Oryzias latipes: one gene and its partners. The protein of the gene in region 6 purifies or fractionates together with the protein of the main gene of each other region. This does not show direct contact. Links are inferred from orthologs where the notes say so. Each region holds a gene or a part of one and is shown on either strand. Other genes may lie near its edges.

What was found.
Region 1: the proteins of aar2 (region 6) and c9h9orf78 purify together in Homo sapiens (affinity purification with mass spectrometry; 3 studies listed by BioGRID and IntAct, with this or other methods). This does not show direct contact. The link is inferred for Oryzias latipes from reciprocal best matches to the Homo sapiens genes AAR2 and C9orf78.
Region 2: the proteins of aar2 (region 6) and tssc4 purify together in Homo sapiens (affinity purification with mass spectrometry; 3 studies listed by BioGRID and IntAct, counting the BioPlex papers as one, with this or other methods). This does not show direct contact. The link is inferred for Oryzias latipes from reciprocal best matches to the Homo sapiens genes AAR2 and TSSC4.
Region 3: the proteins of aar2 (region 6) and eapp purify together in Homo sapiens (affinity purification with mass spectrometry; 4 studies listed by BioGRID and IntAct, counting the BioPlex papers as one, with this or other methods). This does not show direct contact. The link is inferred for Oryzias latipes from reciprocal best matches to the Homo sapiens genes AAR2 and EAPP.
Region 4: the proteins of aar2 (region 6) and ttc27 purify together in Homo sapiens (affinity purification with mass spectrometry; 3 studies listed by BioGRID and IntAct, with this or other methods). This does not show direct contact. The link is inferred for Oryzias latipes from reciprocal best matches to the Homo sapiens genes AAR2 and TTC27.
Region 5: the proteins of aar2 (region 6) and snrnp200 purify together in Homo sapiens (affinity purification with mass spectrometry; 5 studies listed by BioGRID and IntAct, counting the BioPlex papers as one, with this or other methods). This does not show direct contact. The link is inferred for Oryzias latipes from reciprocal best matches to the Homo sapiens genes AAR2 and SNRNP200.

The regions. Positions count from the first base shown.
Region 1 is NC_019867.2:17,116,366-17,120,330, reverse strand, and holds c9h9orf78 (telomere length and silencing protein 1 homolog), read right to left. Parts: upstream 2,801-3,965; 5' UTR 2,705-2,800; coding exon 2,625-2,704; intron 2,459-2,624; coding exon 2,399-2,458; intron 2,310-2,398; coding exon 2,258-2,309; intron 2,164-2,257; coding exon 2,093-2,163; intron 1,984-2,092; coding exon 1,906-1,983; intron 1,634-1,905; coding exon 1,436-1,633; intron 1,347-1,435; coding exon 1,210-1,346; intron 1,131-1,209; coding exon 1,023-1,130; intron 768-1,022; coding exon 667-767; 3' UTR 96-666; downstream 1-95. Other genes in the region: NFU1 iron-sulfur cluster scaffold homolog, mitochondrial, read left to right, coding at 2,863-2,921, 3,935-3,965. UniProt on the Homo sapiens protein: Plays a role in pre-mRNA splicing by promoting usage of the upstream 3'-splice site at alternative NAGNAG splice sites; these are sites featuring alternative acceptor motifs separated by only a few nucleotides. May also modulate exon inclusion events.
Region 2 is NC_019861.2:37,264,295-37,268,264, reverse strand, and holds the start of tssc4 (protein TSSC4), read left to right. Parts: upstream 1-1,170; 5' UTR 1,171-1,267; intron 1,268-3,127; 5' UTR 3,128-3,197; coding exon 3,198-3,956; 3' UTR 3,957-3,970. Other genes in the region: shcbp1 (SHC SH2 domain-binding protein 1), read right to left, coding at 830-962. UniProt on the Homo sapiens protein: Protein associated with the U5 snRNP, during its maturation and its post-splicing recycling and which is required for spliceosomal tri-snRNP complex assembly in the nucleus.
Region 3 is NC_019880.2:24,339,498-24,343,515, forward strand, and holds the start of eapp (E2F-associated phosphoprotein), read left to right. Parts: upstream 1-1,218; 5' UTR 1,219-1,348; coding exon 1,349-1,428; intron 1,429-1,741; coding exon 1,742-1,920; intron 1,921-3,228; coding exon 3,229-3,327; intron 3,328-4,018. UniProt on the Homo sapiens protein: May play an important role in the fine-tuning of both major E2F1 activities, the regulation of the cell-cycle and the induction of apoptosis. Promotes S-phase entry, and inhibits p14(ARP) expression.
Region 4 is NC_019873.2:9,673,386-9,676,885, reverse strand, and holds part of ttc27 (tetratricopeptide repeat protein 27), read left to right. Parts: intron 1-2,809; coding exon 2,810-2,990; intron 2,991-3,500.
Region 5 is NC_019867.2:18,376,549-18,380,756, forward strand, and holds the start of snrnp200 (U5 small nuclear ribonucleoprotein 200 kDa helicase), read right to left. Parts: upstream 2,801-4,208; coding exon 2,756-2,800; intron 2,051-2,755; coding exon 1,887-2,050; intron 1,589-1,886; coding exon 1,417-1,588; intron 1,330-1,416; coding exon 1,137-1,329; intron 1,043-1,136; coding exon 987-1,042; intron 833-986; coding exon 734-832; intron 651-733; coding exon 498-650; intron 418-497; coding exon 318-417; intron 225-317; coding exon 88-224; intron 15-87; coding exon 1-14. UniProt on the Homo sapiens protein: Catalyzes the ATP-dependent unwinding of U4/U6 RNA duplices, an essential step in the assembly of a catalytically active spliceosome. Plays a role in pre-mRNA splicing as a core component of precatalytic, catalytic and postcatalytic spliceosomal complexes.
Region 6 is NC_019865.2:15,451,661-15,455,815, reverse strand, and holds the start of aar2 (protein AAR2 homolog), read left to right. Parts: upstream 1-1,355; 5' UTR 1,356-1,625; intron 1,626-2,182; 5' UTR 2,183-2,317; intron 2,318-2,552; 5' UTR 2,553-2,609; intron 2,610-2,939; 5' UTR 2,940-3,080; intron 3,081-3,177; 5' UTR 3,178-4,155. UniProt on the Homo sapiens protein: Component of the U5 snRNP complex that is required for spliceosome assembly and for pre-mRNA splicing.

The DNA of each region.
Region 1 (3,965 bases), on a different chromosome or scaffold from region 6:
TTGGACATGGACAGAACTCTTGTTCTGTGACAGCAGCATTTTTTTGTTTTCATTAAACCTTTGGTTGTGGTGTTACATTGATCTTATTTGAAACTGGATTTGAAAGTCCCATTTATTGTCCATACACATCTTTCAATGGTAACTTAATAAACTTCACAGAAAAGAAAAGAAAAAGATTTAAAAAATATGAATCTTTGAACATTGAATACAGTTTGACCTAAATATTTACACCTAACAAGCAATGTTTTTGTTATGTTTTAGCCAAAATAAAAGAACACATCGTTAATGGTTTTATCTTTTCTAACAGTTCAAGGAACAGGAAGTTATGTACATCGAAAATAAATTGAGCAGAAAAAGCTTTAAAAATTAATTTGAGAAACTGATCAGCAAGTAAAGTATGTTAAAGTTTCTTAATACTAATGATGCTGTTGGTATTCAAATTGTTGCAGGACTGAAGGAAGATTTGGTTTCAGTGTGAAGATTTTAAATGCTCATTAGCATTGAGGTTTTGTTTTTATCTACGAAATACAGGGGAAGATGTTTCTACAAACAATTGACCAAATACTAAATCGGAAGAAACAGCAAAGAAATGTGAATTATCTAAACTAATAACCATGTCACGACTGACAATAACTCTGCTGGACTCGGTAAAAAGCTGGATCTTTTTTAATATCTTCGATTCATCTTCTTGAACTTCTCATAGTGGTAGTCATCTGTGGCCTTCTCGTTGTTCGGCCGTTTGCGGAAGTTGGGTGGAGATGGAGCTGCTGAAGACAGTGTCATTTCAAATTTTAATTAATTAATATAGCTTTTAGTTTACATTTCTCAAAGATTTAAGAGAATATCTACAGGCTAAATATAAAACAATAAAAAGGAGGTGAGATTATTTGTAAAGTTAAATTAAAATAAATGTAATGATTTTCTTAAAAACCTTGTTTTATTTTATTACCTTAGAAAGACTAAATAAGAAACCAAAACAAAAAAACGGTCTTCTCTTAGCACTTGAAAGTGAAGTGTCATACCTTCTAGACCTGGTTTCTCTGTGTCACCCACACGCAGTGGTCTTGGTTTGGGTTCTGGTTCTTTGTGTCTGTGATGCCTCTGTGCTGCGTTTGAATCTTCATGATAGACTGAAACAAAAAGGACAATTTTCAAGTTACTCTCAGAGTCAGTTTTTTTTTTTTTCCTAGTTAAACTTCCAGAACTTACAGCGGTTATGTTGGACGTAATTCACCGCAATGTTAGTGGGCACGAATGAGGTGCCATTGTCTTTTTTCTTGTTTCTTTGTTCCGCGATAAGCTTTGCTTTTGCCTCCTCCGTCTGGATAATATTCTTTATCTTTGCACTAGAAAAGCAATCACAAACAGGTTAAGCACACACTAAACCTCCTGAAGAGTTAAAGCAGGGATCATTTTTGCAGCTTCCTGAACATACTCAATGCCAAGGTCAACTTCCGGGATCCCACTCAGCATCTGATTGGACAACATCTCCTCCGTCTTCTTGGCAGAATTGACTCGGATGTTCTCAGGAAGTTCGTAGAGGTGGTCCTCTGGATTTTTTACTTTGATTTTCTGTTCCTCTGCCTCCACCAGTCCTTTTTTCTTCTTCAACTCTGTCTCAATATACTTCATCCTGTAAGAAGAAATTCAAGACTTATTTCTGCAATGACAAATCTTTATGCACAAAAAAAGGGAGAGTTTTGAGGCATTCGTATATGGGGCCATTTATCCAACAAGCAATGCACCAAACTCTAATAGCTGATGATAAAACATCATGGAATCACAGTCTAAGGAGCTCTGATTCCAAAATACCTCATATGGATTTGGTTTTTTTCTAAGTGTTTGTTTTAAAAGGTGTGGATAAGGCCATTAAAGTTTTATAGTATTTGTACAGCGAGTCCTTACATGTCTGCATCTTCATCTCTTCTGTTAGTTTCAGCTGAGAAGGATGTACCCAGATTCAGCTCCGTCTCATCTTCTGTCCTGAAAACAACCAAAAACAATGCATTATGTACAGAATGGCAAGCTGTGTAAGACATTCATAAAATGAATAAGAATATAAAAAAATAAAATAAAAAAACATTTTACTTACATGTCTCTATTTCTATCCTTCACCTTTTTCATGTCTATCACGCCTCCTGTCTTGAGCTTAAACGGGTCATTCTGTTGAAAACAGTGATTGTTTGTTACACAAGTCTTGTTGCTGTTGTGACTCAGACATGCAGTGCAGTGTTAGGAACATCCGGACCATACGTACATCAATTTCAGCCTCTGGTGGAAGTTTCTCTCCAACGAGTAATGCAGTCACACTAAAGAATAACAACACGTTTTTTTTTTTAACTCACGTACATCTGGTAAAAATATTTTGAGTTCGAGAAACAACAGTGATAATGATTACCTGACACCGGTTTGACGTTTCCTTAAACTCTGGATTTCTTTAGCCTCCTCTAGCTTTGATCTTTGCAAACAAGATAGAAGCACAGATTCGAAGTGGTAAACTTTTGTTCCAATAAAAATCTTAAAATTTAGATGTAGTTTAAAAAAAATCATGAACAGACACAACGACGTTAGCCGGAGGCTGGCTACCTCAGTAGCTGGCGCAAGTTTGCGTCTAACTAACTCACCTGACTTCTTCGGTTGTCTCATCTTCCTCTTCGTCATCTGATGAGTCCCTTCTCCTCCTAAAATTTTTACCGGAAGGCATTTTTGTATTGTATCGGTTTCCTTATAACGCAGAGCTTTACAAAAACCGACTTTCGCGTTAGCAGTCTCGGGGAACACTTTAACAGATGAACAAAATACTTACGTCATTTCCGCTTGCGCAATCCACATTTCCGTCTTGTTTAGCTAACCATAACAATCATGGCGGCGTACGCACAGTTTGGAAGGTTGCTGGGCGTTTCAGCGAGACTTTTAAGGCCGTAAGTGCTTTGCATTTGGGTTTCTGTTTTTATTAATCTTTCTCGTAATTCATGTATGAATGTGTGTATGAACACAGAGGACATGAAAGCGGTTACATTTAATGACATGGCTCACTTACATACATGGCATGCGTCGCATGACACAAATGAACTGTTCACACTCACTGAGGATTTCCAAAACATTCTTACAAATAACAGAACGTATCTATAAAAAATATAGCCGGTTTTTTAGATGCCGTGTCTGGAGAAACATTTAAATGCACGTGCAAACTTCACTTTTATAGACATTTAGACCACATAATGGACACTTTAAACTTTTGTGACCTTAAGTAAGCTGGATTGTTATTGAAATTTGTTTTCTATTCAGTCATCTAGCTTTTTATCGTTATCATTCCTCAGTCGTGCAATACATTTCACTGCACACATACAATAGATGTATATGTGTGTGACAAATAAAATGTCTATTAAAAAAAAACAATGATTTTTATTTTATGTGGAGGCTGTTGCTTCTGTGATTCTACAATTTTAACACTTCAAAAATATGTAAAGGCAAAAAACAAGAAGAGATTTAGAATTAATATGAATTATTTACTTTATATTTGAACACTTAGATTGTTCATTAATCTCCTAACTATGCTTTTTTTGTATACAGTGATCCCTTGCTATAACGCGGTGTACTTTTCACGGTTTCGCTACTTCACGGATTTGCATCGTGCATTGTGTTCTGCATTCTGATTGGCTAAAAAGTCACTCCGCTTCTTCTCTACCTGTGCGTCAATAACGTTGCAGTTTAATATGTACACGTACTTAAATCAGCTTGCCAAATTTACATTACGTACGTGCAAATTCTTTTGCAATTTCGAGTTTCTCTAAACCCCATAGAAAAAAGAGCGACAACAACTGTCAATCACTATGTTCTTCCCAAACACTAAACATACCTGAAATGTTTACATTTATAACAGTTGTTGTTTGTCATTAAAGTTTTTCTGTTTTGTTTTTTTTATGAATTTTAGGCTCGTTGGCAGCGGCTGTCCAAGCACTGGA
Region 2 (3,970 bases), on a different chromosome or scaffold from region 6:
CTGTTAATGCTTTTTTAAACTTTGAAGGACTTTAAAAAAAATGTTTGCATTGATTTAACTCATTTATAAAGTTATTTTGCTATTTTAAAAAATATGCTTTCAACTCTAATTTTAATAATAATTTCATAGGCATTTTAAATGTTATTTTTGTCCTTAATTGCTGTATTTTTAGTAAGTTAACAGGTTTTAAGGCTTTTTCCGGTCCTCCTGTGTCAAAATCCTCATGAAAGCAGATATTTTCTCTTCTCTTTTATTTAACAATCTGTTAAACAACTTCATAGAATCAACAAAAGAGTCACAAATACTGTGTCTACATACACAAATAAATGAATTTATTTACACCCCCGTTTTCCAGGTGTCAAACTCCAGGCCTCGAGGGCCGGTGTCCTACATGTTGTCCAACCAACCTGCCATGAAGCACACCTGATCCAGGTAATCAGTAGCAGATAAGGCAGGATATCTTAAAAAAAAAAAAAGAAACAGTCTGACACCCCTTTTGCGGTCTTCTATAGGTATATTTTGTTTTTGTAATAACATAATTGTGTTATTTGTTTATTTCAACATCCGTTAATGTCTACTCAGATGAGAGTGAAATATAATTATTTGTCGTATTTGGGTTAAGTTTGGAAAATCCTGCAAGATTGACAGTTCCGAGAATGCAGCTCAGGCTGACGACATATGAAGACGCTGCGTTCACAGACCGCCGGAAACTCGGATAAAAAGTCTGCTAAATCTCCAAGCTAGCAAACCTCGACGGCAGCGGTTAGCTTGTCTCATACACCGACTCGGAGGAAAGAAAACTCAAACCAAAAACGGTAACGTAACAAACCTTGCGCTACATCCAATAAACCGGGTCCCGCGGAGCAAACGCTGTCCGTCTCGACCTGAGGATCCAGATCGACCACCACCAAGTCCGACACGTCGCTGACGGTACACCCGGTTTCCAGGGCTTCGAACTCCATTGAAACGCTCGCCAGAGTCTCGGTTTAACGGGATTAAATGAGGATCACGCGGCACTTGGAGCTTTGAAACAACAAGCGGAGTTCTGAGCCCACGCCCTGACACTTTCAAAAGATCCCGGTCTGCTGCAGCTCAGCCAATCACAGCAGGGAGCTATATAAAGACCCGCCCTTGTTTTTTTACATGCGCGGATCGGCTCGGTCTGCAGTACCACAGGACAATCGTTAGGGGGCAGTAATGACGTAAACATTACACGATCTACCGTAGAAGAAGAGGGTTTCGGCCGGCGGTCTGCGCTATTTCAAAGGTACAAACGGGATTTAAGTCAAAACTACGCGTATTATATAAATATTTGTCATGTAAACAACAGCGCATTTCGCAGCTCTTTTCGGCTAGACAGCATTTTTGTTTTGTTTATAAGCATTTGTAACGTTGTTAGCATGTCGCGCTACTACTAGCATCGTGCTACTTAGCATGCTAACTAACTTCAGTCTGAATCTTGTTTTTACGAAGTCAATATTCCGAGTTATTTTTATTTTTATTGCCAATCTTTTTAAATAAAATCAAAACAAAAGCTTTAGTTTTTTAGGCACAAAAAAAATTCATATATGAGATGAAACAGATGTTTTAATTCATGCGCTGTTAAGGCTGATGATCATGATGATGTTATTATTGTTGTTCGCACGTATTTTTACTAGAAAACAAAGTTATGGAAAACATATTTAAAGTTAAAATCCCATTAACTGTGAGAAAATTGTACTTTGATCCTGGAGGAGCGGAGAGCTGCAGAAACAGCCGCTCAGGAACCAGGGGGGTATTTTCTTTATTTTTAGCTTTTTTTTTAATTGAAAAAACACTTGAGGTTTACAATTTGTAACAATTGTATACAATTATGACAAGTATAGAAAAGTAGAAAAAGTACAGGACATGAACAAACAACATAGGCAGGATAAAATAAAAATATAACAATAATACCGAAAAAAAATTAAATAAAAGAAATTAAAATAAAAAGGGGGTCACATAGACATTTTAATGATTCTTGACTTGGGGGGTTCTCAAAAAGCTGCAAGTTACATATAATACTTTGAAGTTCCATAGCAAGTTTGATTTCCATGAAGTTTGCAGATGAAAAAAAGAGCAGAGTTCTTTATGAAATGTAAAAGAATATGGTTGGATTTCAAGGAATTGACATTTATGTATATAGAATTTACCCAAAATAATTACAACATTTAAAATAAGTTCTGTGTTTTTTTGTTTTTTAAATTAAACCCAAAAATGATGTCCTTAATAGAAAAGTCTGCTAAATGTGGGATTTGGGGGAAAAGCCAATAATTCCAAAAGACATTAGAGTCAAAACATTCAAAGAAAAGATGCTCAGTTGTTTCAATGTCATCATGACAAAAAGAACAGCAGTTTTCAGGAATTCCAAACCGTTTTCTTAGTAATTCCTTGGAAGGGTAAAATACCTGAAAAGGTTTTAAAATTGACTTCCTTGGCTTTAGGAGGGATGGGGAGTTTGAAATATTTGGTTCGTATTTGTTTCTTTTCTGAATTATTGAAATATTGGGTTATATAATTTGAATTTGAGATGTAGGGAAAGGACGTTTCATTCAAATATTCTCTGATTTGATGGTTGGGGAGTTTGAGTTAGGGTTACCAAGTCCAGCGTAATTACACTAACTCAAATCTGGTCATACCGACATACCCAGAGTAAGCAAGTTCAGGCGGATTTCAGCCAGAGTTCAGGCTTAAAGTCAGGCTAGTTTAAACGTGCTTCCTGGATACCTGCCTGAACTTACCGAAATCCTAACCTTGACCCTTCCTGTGGGTCCGTGCAGCCAATGACAACGTTCAGCACTGGCTGCACGTGCGCATTCTTGTAATTATTGACCTTTTATTGGGTCATTATTTCAAAACATTTATTTCAAGTTTGTTTTGAATTGAACAGAATTAGGACTTAAATAATTATGCTTGCTTTTAAAATGGATGTAAACATAGAGGATCATTATTATTTTACAGGTTATTTCCAAAACCCTCATATTTACTGTTGGATGCTCGGTGGTCCGTCCTCACAGGTCCTAGCAGCTTGTTGTTGTTTTGGTAGATGTTAAAACCAGTCCATGCAGGTTTGATGGGGTGGCCTGACCTTTGGTGTCTTCCTCTACAGTTTTGGGGTTCCCACCTGACCGGGTTTGTCTTCCTCGCGGCTCGGGGTTCGGCTGCAGCCGCGGCTGAAGATGTCGCAGCAGAAATGCGTCCAGAGCTGCGGCGACGACCAAGAAGGCTTTGAGCTGTCGGCCAGTGACGAGTCGGAGCCCGAGGAAGAGCTGAGCCGGGCGCCCTTTGACCCGGAGCTGGATGACAGCGACGACGGGGGCGAGGAGGCGTGCGCTCTCGGCGCCACCCGCTCAACTGCGAGCACGTTCGTCTTGAGCGGAGGGAACTCTGCGTTCTCCGACCGCAGCCGCAGCGTCTTCGACTGCCTGGATGGCGTCGAGAGGCAGACGGCACCTCTGCTCCCCGAGGAGAGCATGCCCCCTCCCAAATGTCCCCCTCCTGCAAAGAAGAGGGGGGTCCCGGACTACCTGCTGCACCCTGATCGCTGGACGCGCTACAGCCTGGAGGACGTGAAGGAGACCACTGATCAGGAGAACCGCAGGGCGGCGCACAACTTCCTGTCCAGTCTGCGGCCTGAAGAGGGCAACCGCCCCCCCGGTGAACCCCCCCACGACCAGCAGCAAAAGGTGGTCTTCTCTAAACCCAAACGAGCGTTCAAGGAAGAAATCTCTGAGTCAGACCAGCAAGGAAAGGAGAAGAGACTGCACCTCAGTCACCTGGCTGAGGAAGAGGAGGAGGACAACAAGGCTGCTGGAAAGACCCAGCAGGATGCAGAGGAGGTCAGAGACCAGCAGGAGTCCCTCCCCAGCTTCACCCCCTTCAAGAAAATGAAGAGGAAGAGCTACAGAAGGAGCTCGGATCACAAGGATGAGTGCTAAAATGCTCGATTTGA
Region 3 (4,018 bases), on a different chromosome or scaffold from region 6:
GACCTAGAGGAGCACAACATAACAGTAAAGTCTTTTTGCCCTGACTTTAAATTAACACCAAAAACACCAAAAGAGTGTCTCCATAAAAAATAACATTTATTTACAAATTAATAAATACCGATCGACAATAACTAAAAGGTGAAGCAAAAAGGCTTCAGGGTGAACCAAACCCAAAATAACAAACAAAACCCCACCTGACTGAGATCTGAAATCTTACCTGTGACAAAACAATAACCTCCGTGGAGACAGGTTGCAGCAAAGCTCCCTTCTGGCAGGCTGGGGGTCCACATGCTGCTTGTAAAGGCTGCCTCCATCAGCTTGGGTCCAAAAGGAAGCCACACCCTTTCCAGCACCAAAGTAATCAGACAGACACACAAAAACCCACAAAACACAGAAGTCCCACTATGATACAAAAAAGACAGAACAAAAAGAACAAAACCGAATACGGCCACAGCCATAACACTGGAGGTCCAACAGGATCTTTGCCCTCTCATTCTCTACCACTTCAGAGGTGTTTCCCATTTTGACTTTATGGTTTCCAGTTCATATTCTGCACACATGTTCCTGTATATTATTCCAGCCACTTGATTGTGGCGCTCCATGTATGCTTTCCCTGCCAGTATCTTACACCCTGCAGTTATGTGCTGGATTGTTTCAGGCGCCTCTTTGCACAGCCTACACCTTGGGTCTTGTCTGGTGTGGTAGATCTGAGCCTCTATTGCTCTGGTACTCAGGGCTTGTTCCTGAGCTGCCAGGATGAGCGCTTATGGCTGAATAATCTTTTCACCTCTATTGTCCTTTTCAAGTTGCATGGGTTATCCTTAAACTAATCTTGAAAAACTTTTTATTTAATGCTTTTTGAAGTCTATAGTTATCATTATATTTTGGGGATACATAAAAATATATAATGTTTGAAAATTTTCTTAATTATTTTCATGTTATACCTACTGTTAAATCCAAACAATAATTAATTTCTTCTTTTTTATTAATTTTACTTTTCTAATCTTTTAAATTTAGCTTCAGCATTTTAACCTGACCGATTTTACTATTAAATTGTGGCTTTAGCAATAAATAAATTTATTTTTATTTGTTTCTTTTGTTTTATATTCCACCTACTTTTATTTTTTAGTTCTGAAATGAATTTCCTTTTAGATAGTTGAAGTAAAAATGATTTTAAAATGTTTCTCCACAAGAGGGCGGTAACGAGTTTTCCAAGTGCTTTTACCACCATAGAAGAAGAACCGATGCCGAAGAAGAAGACATACGTCAGACTGGACAGAGTGTAGACCAGTTTCGGGATAAATCTTTCCCGTTGTTTTGTCTTCTGAGAAAGTTTAAAATTGTTAAAATGAGCAAGTTTAACGGACCGGTGGAAAGTGAGGCTTATGAAATCGATGAGCCAAGCGACGAAGAACGCGCTTCGAGCAGGTATGATGTAAACAGACGGTTAGCTTCATGCTAGCAGCACGAGGCTAACAACAGCTGAAAGCAACAAAAACGGATAAAAACATTACATGTTTATGATTTGGTTTTTAATGATGTTTTTGATTTTAAAGGTAGAATATATGCAGGATAAACCAGTTCCTAGACGTTTAATTTTAAAGTTTGAATCAGGTTTTAGACCATGATAAAAGAGACGCAATATGTCGCATTTTGGCGCTGTGTTTTGCTTTGCTTCATGATCGTCATCATGATGAAGGTTTCCAAAAGTCCAGTTTTGAACAGAAACGCCTGTCTTCAGCTCCGAGGACGAGCTGGACGTGCTGCTGAACGGGACGCCGGACCAGAAGAAGAAGCTGATCCGGGAGTACCTGACCGGGGAGAGCGAGTCCTCCAGCGGGGATGAGTTTGAGAAGGAGATGGAGGCAGAGCTGAGCTCCACCCTCAGGACCATGGAAGGAAGCTGGGCCCCTGCAGCCGGTAACCCGTAACACGCACAGACACACACAGGGCCCTTCCAAACACAGAAACACCAAGCTTTTGTACAAAAGAGAGCTGCTTGTTGTTTTGAACCACTTTACCACATTGGAGCCACCAGCCCCAACCTCAGCCGCCTCCCAGCATCATCATCAGCAGCAGCAGCAGCAGCATAACTGTCCGTCTCTCCTTTCAAAACCATCTCATTCTGCTTCTAGAGCCTGATCTGGGGGGTATTCCAGAAAGCAGGTTATGCTAGTTACCACGGTAAGTTTGAGGCTAAGGAAGTTGATACCCTCAGCTTTCTGTTTTAGAAATGGAGGTATGCTTCAGGGTAGGTCAAGTTGCCATAGTAACTCATGCTCTGAACATAACCTGGTCTGGAGCAGGTTTAGTTGAAGCTTAGTTTGTTTTCAGAGAGGTGAAGCAGCATGGCGTGTCCATTTGAAGATGATTTAGTGGATGAAGAAGCTCAGATAATACTTTTTCCACCATTGTTCTCCACGCGTTTCCATGGTTACTCCGTAAATCGGCGATCTATTGAGAATGTCTTTATGTACCTGCTGTGCACGAGCATTAACCCAGGGTTACCAAGTCGAGCGCAATTACGCCAACTCATACCCGGTCTTTTGGAACCGACATACCCAGAGTAAGCGATTTCAGGCGGATTTCAGCCAGAGTTCAGGGTTAAAGTCAGGCTAGTTTAAACATGCTTCCTGGAACACCCCACAGGTCTTCTGATGTTTCCATTCCTCCATTCAGTGCAGCTTTAAAAGCTGTTCTTCTCTTTAGAAGCTGCAGACTTTAAGGTCTGAGCTGTAATGAACAGTCAGATCAGTGACCAGCATGGGAGGATTTGTAGATCCAGACAGGTTTCATGCAAAACTCAAAAACAATAGTTTTGACCTGATACCACTCATGTTTGGCTTCTTTACTTTGTTTTAATTAATAAATCATACAAACATTAGAAAAAAGATATATTTTAGAAATACTGTTCAATTTAAAATAGAAAAATGCTCTTTTAATACAATGTACTTGCTATAGTAGAAAGTCAAGTCAAACCAGCCGGAGTCCACAACCTCTCATCCACCAGAACCTTCAAATCCTCCACAATTCCAGGAGAAATTGAATGATTAGTTTGTGTTAAATAAAAGTCCCAAAACAAACCAATAGTTTGTAAATTTTGAATGTTTTTCTGCAAAGGCAGCTCATCAGCTGTTCTCTGGAGGGGTTGGTCTGCTTCTGTATTAATCTGACTGCAGACGAAGGTTTCAGGAGGGATTGCATGTGAAGGTTTCCTCTCTCCTGCAGCAGAAACTGGAGGAGGCAGCGAGGTTGTCGGTTCCTCCAACCCTCAGATGTACGACAGCGTTTACTTTGACTCTGATTCAGAGGAGGAGGACACAGCTGGTAAGACGCACACTGACGCGGCGTGAGCACGGGCATGCTAGGTTCACACCGCCCACGGGAATCCGCGTCTACGCCACTACTTCCAACGAGTCCAAGTCTATGTAAACGCTTGTAAATGCGCATTTCCGGCTTCTTCGGTCAAAACTCTTTTGTTCGTGCATCTCTGCGCGAGTCTTGATGTCTGTTTTTGTACAAAACCTGCACCCACTGAACGCACTTTGAAAGTTAAACCAGTTGAACTTTGACCAATCAGAGAGTCAGATTTGGTAGTGACGCATGCGTAGCATCCTTTTTAATTCACCAAATGGGCTAACTGGTTGAAAGGTGATCAAGAAGGAGAAATTCAAAATGTGCAGTTTGTGCCCTGCCAGAACTACATGACACACCAAGTCTTTCATAAACCGGAATCGAGCCGTGAAAGAAAACGCCTGGAGATTTGCACCGCTTTGAATTTTCCTCCCAAGCCTCCTCCAACTGGAGGTGGTGGACGTGTTGGCGCCCGTCCACTGTGAACACCATATGACAACGCATGTCCAAGAATGTGTGACACGTCTGGTGTGAACGTAATTGGGAGTGGGAATTGGACTAGGAATATTAATGTTAGCGGTTGACCGTTGTACCACCATGCCAGAAATTCTGTTCTAGTACATACATAGAATAATTCTCAGGGTTTGAATGCACGTCATGAAAT
Region 4 (3,500 bases), on a different chromosome or scaffold from region 6:
AACAGAGGCTTTCTTTCTACAAATAACTTTTTTGGCTTTACTTTGGATTTTTTGAAGACAACAGTCCCATAAAACTGCAGGTCTCTTCTTCAAACAAGTTGTGTACAATCTGTTGTTTCGCTAGTTTGAATACAGTTAAGTGTGTGAGTGTTTATTCCTTAGCCAGATAACCCTGACACAAACTCTTCACGCAACCAAAGGGAAGTTGTTCTTTGCTTTTGCCCAGCAAAGAGTCTGTAGTTGTTTGAAGTACTTGTAAGATGTTTTGAGAGTCGGGAGCCAGTGCTTAGGTGTTGGAGAACTAAAGAACTGACTCCAAAACTAGCAATGGAACCAGTTCTGTCAAGAGGGACTCAGATGTTGATGCTCGGCACTAGAGTTGCCACAATTCTCAGTTTAAAACAGATCTGGTTGTTACACCACTGAACTGAATTGTGGAGACAGCGAATCGTTGCATCCCTTCTCCATACCTACTTCATACCATTAGGTGTTGCGCTATATTTAAGAAGAATATATTTTTTTAGTATTTTTTACATCAGGCTTAGTAAAAGCCAACATCATTGTTACTTGCTAATTAGCTAATAAAAAAAAGGCTTATCGGAAGTTTTAGTTTTTTGTTGTTGTTTTGTAACACAAATCATATATAATGAACCAAAACAAAACTGTGACCCAAAAATTGAGGTTTGAACCAAATTGTGAAGCAAAATGTATTGTTGCATCTCTAGCAGGCTTCGGGATGTTTGTTTTTGGATAGTGGAGGGAAGGATAACGACACCCAAAGTTAAATTGCTTTTAGTTTCACACAGCTGTTAAGATCCATAATGTTCTGCAGAAAGGTGCCATCAGTGGTAGCTGCACTTGGGAACCAATTATGGATTTAACCCCTGATCCAACTCTTAGTACTGCTTAGCAAGCAAATAGGCATTCTATACTACTGTCTTTGCCATTTTCTGACTATGGAATTGAACCTTCAGTTCCTGTCTCTCGGGGTGGAAAACTTTATTAAACCATGTCAGCTGTGACTTCCACATTGTCCACATGTAGCCCCAGAAATGGACAGACCCAGTTCTGTACACACTGCTTCCTTTTTGAAGTTGACCATTGCCTACGTGACCTTCATCAATTGTTTGTAGTTTGTCCCTGTTGAATTCTGCACATACTCTCCCAGACTGTTGGGTGTCTTTGGTGAGCTTGTTCTGCACGATTCAGATGGATTGAAAGACAGAATCTATTTTCATGCGTCCTTTCTTGGGCTCTTGCAGACTTGATATCACCCGCATTTGAGAAAGATAAAGTAGAGATTTATTTAGTCTAAATAGTGTTAATGAAGCTGCGGGATGTGTGTTCTGCAGACAACTGATGACATCATCCTGGATCTTTGTTGGTATTCCAGGCATGCCTGTCTGTTCAAGGAGTTGCTTCTTCCTGGGATATAAAGCGACGTCCTTTGGTTAGAAAACATAAGCGCCTTAGTTTTAGCACGCTTTCCTCTGCGGCTCAGTACCCCATCGCTCCCTTTGCTTTGTCCGCTGGGGAAAACAAAGCAATCGGTGCAAATGAACCAACCAGTCTGGCATCTAGTAAGAAGCTGATCGAAAAAGGAGTTAAACAGAGCATTTGAGCCACGCCATTATTTCTGGTTGGGAAGCGGTGGCCCTGCAGCTGCCCTGCTATAAATCAATGTTTTTGTTTTTTTTGCCATCACTTCACACATGGGTCTCTTCATCTGGCTGCCTTCAGCTCAGTCAAGTTCACAGTAACATGGAGCAACATGATAATCTGCAGGGAACAGTCTCTGTCCTTACTGACTTAATCACAATAGGAGGCGGGATTAATGATGAGTACACAACAAAACAAACGAGGGCAGATTGATGGAGCTGTGAGGACGTTGGTGTTTATTCTGTTGGCTGATAACTAGCTTTGAAAACTTTGAAGGACATCGAAAGCTGTAAAGCTGAAGGCTTTCCAATGTCAGTCCAAAATGTTACCTCTAAATGTGAAGACAAGCGTGATGGTGCCCGCTCTGTGTGCTGCAGTTTTAACCTTCAGACTTTCTTCCAAATCCAATGACACAAGCGGAATTAGCTCAAGATGAGAATCAGTGATGATGGCTAAAAGGGAGAAGGGTTTACAGGCTGAGCTTCATCAAGTTTGGCATCAGAGGGGAGACTGCAGAACTCAGGAGGACGCCATTGTCCTTCACATATAAACCTCATCTAGGAATAAGTTTAATTCATTTTTTATTTTTATTTTCAAAAGCACAGAATTGGAAAAATAAAAAAGATTGACCGTATTTTCACACTATTGAGCGTAGTGGATTAAAAGGCGCATCGGCCATTTTCATGCATTTCATATATGAGGTGCACATTGTTTGCAACATGTATTTTGACAGCACCGTTTACTTGGCAAAACTCCTTCGACACAAGTGAGCACAACCAGAATTAACCTTAATACTTTGGGTTATAAAGTGCACTGTTGTTTAAGAAAATAAATAAGGGCTTTTAAGTCTAGCTTGTAGTGTGGAAAAAATGACAACTGAAAAGGACTTGGAGAACCTATGGCCTTTTGGTTGCTTTGTTTTTTTTGAACGTCTTTCTCGTTGTCAAGAGAAAATACATTTAAACTTTTTAATGTGTGTGGATAATTTGCATTGTAATTCATAAATACGGAACTACTGCAATTTATGTAACATTACTTTATAACCAAGGCTCTAATAAAAGACTTAATTTAACATATTCAAGACTTAGTAACTTTTCAAAGGAATTTTTTGGAGTTTCAGTGAACCTTTGCGTTTCCTGTGTTTCTGTAGATGCCGGTTCTCTGCTGCAGTCCTTGTTGGAAGGAGATTTTGAAGCGGTTCTGCTGAGCCCACAGGTGAAAGACTTGCTCACAGGAGACGGCTCCTACTATGACGAGGACATCCAGGCTTATCTAGAGAGACGAGTGCTGCTGTATCTGAGTGATGCCTCCAATGATGACCAGAATAGCAGGTAAAGTGAATCCAGTCGGGCAATGGCTTTCTGTTTGCGATCGTTTTTTAACATGAGTGATTACACTGTTTGTCAAAAAGCTTTAATCTTCACCTCCTAGCTGCTGTGTTTTTTAAGGATTGTCTATATGAATTATGGCTCAGGAAATGTTTTCGCACATACGTTTAAGGCTCATCTGTCGGACTCTTTTAGGCTACGTTCACAATGCAGGGCTTAATGCTCAATTCCGATTTTTTTTTTTTTGTTGTTGAAAAAATTCGATTTTTTTTCTTAAGGCCGTTCACCTTTCTACGACGGAGTTTTAGGGTCCACGGTGAGGGAAAAATATTCTGGCCAACATGACGAGATTAAAGTCGTCATGTCGACTTTAATCTCGTCATGACGAGAAAAAACTGTCAACAGCGGAGCTCTTTACAATTACAATCTTCTCATTTTAAGAAGGCAATGAAGCCAGGATCGTCTGTACCCACTGTTGTGGAATGGGGATGTGTATGTGCTGTGGCCGTGCAT
Region 5 (4,208 bases), on a different chromosome or scaffold from region 6:
CGAGATTGTTCTTCCTAATAAAAAAATATTACTTTTATTATACAAACCAAAAGACTAAATGTTTCTTTAACAAACAACAAATCTAACTCGAATGATGTCCTCCTTTTCCGTCTCTTGCAGCTTGTAGAGAATCTTTGACAGCTCCGGATCAGACTCCATCTTTCCAATGATCCTCTCCTTTTCTGCCTCACTCTGAGCGCTTGCTAGCATTGTACAATACTGAACTGTGGGTTAGAGATGGAAAAAGCAGCTATAAACAAACAAACATACAAAAACAAAAAACAGAAAATGAATCTGATTTAGATCATTTCTCTTACTCATGCGCCGATGCTGACGGAGGATTTTAATGAAATCAAAAGTGTTGAAACCCAACAGCAACACCAGCTGGTTCTCACATTCTCTGTCATCACTGGCTGTCTGTGACACAAAAAGGAGACATCAACGCACCTGGGAATGATTAGAGAATCTACTGTGAGCAGGCAAGGCGGTAAACATACTTTGAGGATTTCTAAGACTTCGTCCGCTTTCTTCTGTGACACGATGGCATCGTCATAGAAACGGCTGAGTTGACGCTGGAGCCAGAAGGCATCGATGTCCCGAGGATGTAAATCTTTTTTCTTCACCGTCATCACGTCACCTGTTTCGCCGAGCTACATGAAGAAAAAGCGATTTTAGAGAAACAAATGAGAAGATGTGACACTGGAAAAGACGAGGATGCAGCTGTTCCACTGACATTGGCAGAGAGTGTGGTGGTCACAACCGCCTCCTCTCCCTCACTGTCTTCATCGGATTGCTCGTCTTGCACTTCACCAAACGGGTTTTCATCCCCTTCCTACAAAATAAGTAAAGATCAGGAACTGGTTCAAACTGTGAAACCCAAAGACTGAATACAAACTTTTCATCAAAATTCAGTCAAGAAAATATTTGATAATTGCTGAGCTTTAATTGGTTGAACAACCATCAATTTAAGACAAAAAAAAGCTCACCTCCTCATCAGATTCAAACTGTACATTGACACCATACGTATCATCAATGTTGTCATCTGTGGAGAAACAACAAAGGGTTCAGATTATTTCAGTTACGCACACCCATCGATTCAGAGACAAACGTGACAGATCTTATGCACAAAAAGTTACCCATATTCTGCAATTCCTTGTCTCCCCCATAGTCTGTGATCTTCTTTCCAAGATTGACCAACACATGATACCGTGTGTCATCTGAAGGTCCCAGAAGCTGCTCCACTTCACGTCGCCTTTCTTTATCCCTGATTTTGTCATTTTTCAGTACCGCTAGTACCTCATCAGCTGCTCCACACAAAATGTCACGTGGCTGCAGACAACAGCACAGGGGGGGCAGGACATCAGCTTTCAGCACTTAACACAATTTTGAACAAGAGCCCACATTTGATTGGCTCACCTGATCTCCTAGAGCTGCATGGATGAAGCTTAGCAGCACTTCATAAGTCTCTCTGGTTTCTTTGGTTTTAGGCTTGTACACAATGCCCACCATTTCATCAATGCCTTCAGACAGAAGGGTAAAACCTTTCATTTTGTTGATGTCATGCCTGTCCTCATCTCTTTTTCGTCTCCTAAGTTAACAGCACAAGGAAAAAACCAGTTAGCGTGTTTTACTTTTAACATGAATACATCTTAATACAACAAGTTCAACAAATTTTGATGCACCAACAAGATGAAAATATTAAATTTAGTAAATTATTTCAACAGTATCATACAAACCATCTCATCTATGTTTAACCATTTTGCACAAGAACTAAAGCATTTTCTACTTGAAATTCTCAACTGTCAGCTTGACAAAGCACCCTATGGTGCCAACAGTGCCACGGCCAAATGTAAACTAAAACCTGGTGTGCGTTATTCTGAACTGACTTGTTTCTTCTGTCTTCCAGGTTCTGAGGTCTGGTCCTCTGAGCCTTGTCACCCATCTTGGTCCCCTCCAGCTTCCCCACCAGGGACAGCACCTCTCCGGTGGGCTCATCTCTCCGTGTGCGGTCAATCAAAGAGCGATCCGCTTGCAACACCAAGTTTGAGTTCTACCAGGTTAAAAAAAAAAGGTGAAAAAAAAAGGTGTGATTTATCAGTACAGCAATAGACAATCCCTTTAGCCCTTTCAACTGTATTTATCCCCTTTTTTAATTCATGAATTAAGAATCCTGCTAAATACTTTTAATTATGCCTCAAGTATTACAGGTAGTAGCAATTTGAAAAAGAAAACAAAAGTCAAAGTTGTGAAAAGACATACACACTATATACACATAATATACACACAACCTCAAATAAATAAGCGAGTCAGTTTCCTCCTCCTACATTTGTTTATAGAAACAACAATAATACTGGGATTATCTTCCTTTTAAATGATTTAAACTATATATTTTTAAGAAAGTTATGGGGGTACGAAATCATAGTTTGCATTAAATAAAAATCTAGATGACGAGGAAAGTATCGATTCGCAGATGTTTATCCACAATGTTAAAAGGAAACTAACTTTTGAAGTGTTACGCCATTCGCAGTGTAACTTTGCTTTGTTTATTCCATAAATTGATAATTTTTCAGTAAGCGTATTTTATTTAGAAACATGTCATATATTGTTTTTCTTTGGCGCAAAGTGTCGTGGCTAACCGAGGAAGCGGCTACACGCGCATGATGGCGAGATAAAAATAAAAATATTAAATGACTTGATTTGTTCCATGTCAGTATGTAAACAGATTTTCAGAAACTTAGTTGAATTCCTCACTCACCGCTTTGTACTCATACTGCAGGCTACGAGCGGTAACATCCGCCATGGTGGAGCCGTTCTTTCAACGTCGTCTGACCACACGTTCTGAATCAGGCCGCCGGGTCCACGGAGTTGAGTTTGCTCTGCTTTCTTCACGGTAAAACTCTGAGCATTGGTACGGTGTTCAGACTTTACACATAAACCAGCTTTCAAAGTCTTTACAAGTTTCACGCACGAAAAAGCGTTTCACCTACGTAACAATGCTTCTGCTGCTAGCACGAGCGCACAACATACAGCGATCGTCTTCCTCTTCCGGTGTCAAACGATGAGAAAAACTGAAATAGAAACGAAGCAGCGCCCTCTAGCGCAGAACTTCTTCTCCTTCTTCTTCTTGTGGTCTTAATAGCGGGAGGCACAAACGACCTGGTGCAATGTCGCCACCTACTTGGAGTGTGAGTCGGAGTGGGGTACAACTGGTCTAAAAGACAACTACAAAGACTACAAAGACAACAAAAAACCCTATATTCTCCTCAATAGACCAACATTGAAATTCTGCCCCCCTCCCAAAAGCCTCATCAAACTCTACCCCTCTTCCTCTGGCAATGGTACACTATCCTCCAGCTGCCACCTTTCTTCCCAATATAATTCAGCAACACAAAATGTGCTCCACTGATTCTTCCCCTTTCCCGCATTCACACAGTCCAGTGGGATGTTTCCCTAGTAAATCTAGTGTAGTATTTAAAGCCGTGTGTCCCATCCATGATCGTGATATCATGATTTGAACGGCTGCTGCCTTCGGGCAGAAGATACAGGACAATTAAAACAAGGACAAACAGATTAAAAAATAGCTTTTATCCGAGAGCCATCGTGGCCTTAAACGCTGCTAAATAAAGTTAATTTATTAGGGAAGCGTGCAATACCTTGACAACATGTAACCTCCTTTTTATATTTTTGTAAATTTTTAATACATTTTTTTTATCTTATATTGTCTTGTTTCGCAGTTTTAGTTTATTTTTATTTGACTTTTTTTTTTTTATTCCACCGGAAGAAATTGCACTGTAATTTCGTTATACATGTACAATGACAATAAAGATATTTTCTGTTTCTATTTGATCTCTGGTGTTTGATGTAAGATGGATACGTTTCCCTACTTTGTCTTGTATACTGAATAGATGTTGTTCTTTCCACTCCCTTTCACATTGTTTCTGCCAGTCTTCTATAATACGCCTTTTAACAACGAAATTTCTATCTCCACGCACCGTTTCAACGCCTGCTTTGCACAAAAATCAGCTATTTCATTTCCCTCCACCACCTATGTGATGGTACCCACATAAATCTGATACTGATTTTCAATGTCTCCAATCTGAACAGACTCTCATAAATCTCGTACATGAAAAACATTTTGCTTCAATCTGAAAGGTTTGTTGACTTAAAACCTTCAATTAAAAAGTATTTATTTTTTACATAAAGCCTTT
Region 6 (4,155 bases):
TTCTGCTAACATGAGGCATCATGCTAGAAATAATGTATTTTTTTTTCTCTTTTCTACGCCGCACCCGGTATAATCCCACTCCCCAAAAATAAACACAAATTGTTTCATTTGTCTCTCTTTAGTTCTAATTTTGACCTGAATGCTCCTATATTTCTTATTAGCATGAAGCCATGAAGGTTCAAAGAGCTTAGAAGTATCTTTGAACTTATGGATCACCAAGGATTAAGTAAATAAACAGAAATATGAATTCATTTTTTAGACTTTGTTTCTGTTATAATCAGTGAGACCAACTTTTTCCTCTGACAATGACACCCCTTTGTATTGTTCAGGGAGTCTAGATAGAGTTAGCTCAGACCTTCTTTTTTGTTGAGGTTCATGTCTGTTCTTAAAGTTTCTGGCCAGAAATTAGCGCATGCATTCCCGTCCCCCTGTGCAAAAGACCCAATCCTGCTTTGCCCTGCAATTTGAAAGAAATCTGTAAAACTTTACGCAATAGAGTGTGCAAAATGACAATGTAAAAACTCCATGTTTGGTTTGTTCAACTTTTAATTTTTGTGTCTTTACTCCCAAACAAACAATGCAGACCTTCTGAAGTGAATGTTTGGTTGAGGGGAATTCTGACTCCAAACTCAGTGAGACAGACGATGATCTGCAAATGATGTTTTCAAAGTAAGGCTAAACATAGCAGCTACAATATTCAAGAGAAGTCTCTTCATGCATCTAGAAAAAGTTTTTTTTAAACTTTTGAGTCTCAATTCAGCAGTAATTATCTGGTGAGATCTTAAATTACACTAATATCTCATTTAGATTTCATGAATAAAATTTGCATTTGTTCCACAGGATTAGACAGTTCTCAAAGTTTCTGTCATTAAATGACAAAAAAATATTTCTCAAACTGAATTAAATGCTGATTCTTGTATTTTTACATCAATGCAGCTGAAATATAACTTTCTTTCTATAAAAGTGTTTTTCAGATGTCAGAATAAAATGTGAGAATATGGGAGAACAAAAACTTTCATTGTAGGAAATGTTCTGCTGGACCAGTTCAGTTACCCCCACCACCCCCACCCCCGCAGTCGGTTCCCATAGTTGTTTATTGTTATAAAATGTGGTTTCTCATTTTTTTTGTCTAAATCACAAATAAAGGGTTTCTTTATTTTATCATTCAACCATAAACTAGACCTCTAAACTTTTATTCATTAATACCATTATTATTAGAAAGTAACGCTAGTTGATGAGAAGAAAAGCTTCTCTTTTAGTGTCCTATCTTCCAAACGAAACCGAAAGCACAAAGGCAGATGATTGATTGCAGGAGTTTCCTCGACCTGAACCGACTGGAATTTGATGAAATCCTAAACCCAGCGTCAGTAGTCCATGACGGGGAGGAAATTGAGCAGCAGCAGCAGCAGCCTGGGTGATGCTGGAAAGACGCAGCGCTGCGTCGGCTGTGACTGACCCCGCTGCAGCTCTGACCTCTGCACCTGAGAAAGTGTGCAGTGCAGACAGTACCGAGAGGAAGCAGAAGGATAATGAGAGCAGCTGGAGCGTTAATTCCACGAACCTGCAAGTCACTGTCAGACATAGGTTTGCTCGTCTGAGGATCCTGCTGAAGAGCATAATAAATGGTAAGCGCACTGGTGCGTAATTACGCACGCACAGTGACAAAGTGAGTTGTTTTAGTGCTTTGATGCCAAAGCAGAGATTGAGAATTAAACCTGAGACTCGGACTTGAGTCTCACTTCAGTTTCAAAGGCAGGGATTTAAGACTTGAAAGCCTATTTAAGACTGAAACCTTAACTTCAAGAGCATCAGACTAGACTTTGAGGACTTGAGAACATTCTTAGTTTATTTTTAGTTTTACCTTAAAAAAAAAAAACAGATTGAGGTCTAATATTTTTGTGCTGTATGTGTCACTATTAGGTGGTTTAAAATACTGTAATGACATTAGTGAGAATCACACATTTTTAAAAATAATTTCCAACATTTTGGATTTGACTTGTAACCAAAGACTTAAAACCAGACTATGACTTGGGAAAAGTGGATTTCAGAGCATTTTAATGCCAAAGTCTGTGCACTTTGTCTTTCTGTCATGTGATACAAAGATGCCCAGGAGCCGAGTGATTTTATTCAGTCTTCACTGGGCTGCATTTAAGGTACTTCCACACCTCTTTCTTTTATGCAGTGTCTGACCGGAACTCTACTCCACAGTGTCCTGGTGGTTCTCTTGTTGGCCAACTCATCTGGTAAAAGTAAATGTAACTACAAAGACATACTGGGCTTCTACAGAGAAGTCATCTTCGTTGAGCTGCAGAATCTGGTATGACGACCAAACTGACCGCAAAATAAGAATTTCAATGTTTGTTTATATTCAACAGCCTTTTACCTACAGCTGACACTAAGAAAAGTGTTGGAATATATGGTTAGAGACTGCCCTCCAGTGTTTGTTTTGCAACACACACACAAAGAAAAGCCTCAAAACGAATTTTCCCACACTTTGAATGAGATGAAACTGGATTTCTAAAATAATATTTTTGATGACTAATGTTTTTCAGAATTTGACTGTTTCTCACAACTCATCCAAAGGGAGAGATCCCTGCCCCTCTGCAAAGGTGAGCATCAATGCTATAGGTACATTAGATGTAGTTTGGTGGCTGTAAAACGGAAATCACACACACAACAAATGCAGTAAACGTAGTAACAAAAATGGAAACAAATTACAGAAAACTGTTAAAATAGAACATTTAAAAATATTTTGCTTTAAAAAAAAAAAAACAATATTAAAAGTAAAAACAAAAAAACAAAAAAGGAGATTTCTTTAACCCTGATGTGACATATTTGTTTAGTTTGGCAAGTTTTGTCTACCCAAATACTTGCATTGTTTGTTATCAAGGTCTTTAAATGCTGTCTGTTTTCTCCTTTTTCCTGCCATCTCATGGCAGGCACATCGCATCCTTGTGTCCATATACATTAACACACAGCAGGTCCTCTGTTTGAAGAGCGGCAAGAAGCTGTCTGACCTGAAAAAGCCAATAGAAAACATGGAGCAGCTCATCGTTCAAAACTGCAGTCCTAATTATATGGTGAGAAAAAGTACCGATGCAGATCTTTGAAGTATGCAAAAAAACTTAAAAATCTGAACTAATTTATCTTTTTTTTCTTTTTTTCTTTTACTTCTAGGGAAAGAAAAACCCCTGTTCATCTGCCCAAAAAATACAAGGGAGAAAAGGCAAGAGATTTAGGGTGATCAAAACCATAAAGGCATTGATTAGATGTTGGGAAAAACTCAAAAGTGTCGTACCCTCTGATAAATAGTATGACTTTGGTCCCTAGGACCCGTGCTACTCTATGCACTCAAATTTCCAGATGGTTCTTCCAATCTGGTCAAGATAGACTTTGTAAAAAAAAAAACGGCTTCCTCTTTTATTGGAATGCTCAAGTTGTTTTATTCCTCCTTTTTTTAACAGTTGTCGAGATCTCCGAGTTTTGTGATTAAAAAAACGCCATCCACTGCATGTCAGCATTCCTCTTTGCAATATGAATTGTTTCCTAATAAGCCAAGATAAGCTAAAAAGTATTCACTCACCATTCAGATGTTCTCCAGTAAAATATGCACATTTTCATTCTTTGTAGCATGTTTTTTTTGAATGACATATTGACATTATACATATTTCCTGTCTTTTTTACTGTAATTTCATTTAATAAAATACTGAATATTTATTAATACTTTTATTAGAGAGGAAATTGTTGGTTTTGTTGTTTTTTATAAAAGGAAATCTTAAAGAGTGGAACTGTTCTTAAAAAGAATGTTTCCGACGGAACAAATAAGGTGTTACGCAGCGTCCGCCAGTGTTTACAGCCGAGAGTCCGCGAAGCGAATTCGCCACGAATCTGAACATTATCGTAAAGTAGCTTTTGTTCTTTGCATGTTAGTAAAAAAAAAAGTGCGAAGGGCAGTTCTTAGTCAGAATTATACTCTTTTCATTGTTTGTTTTCGTAACATTTACAGCGACGCAGAAATGCGTTTTTGTTCCTTAACAACACTCCCCTGAAGCAGCTTCTTCACTAGTCTGTGACTGTCTGTGGGACGTTCTGGGTAATCCTTTCCAATATTCAGGACACTTGTATTTTATTTTAGGAGGTTATTTGTGACACAAA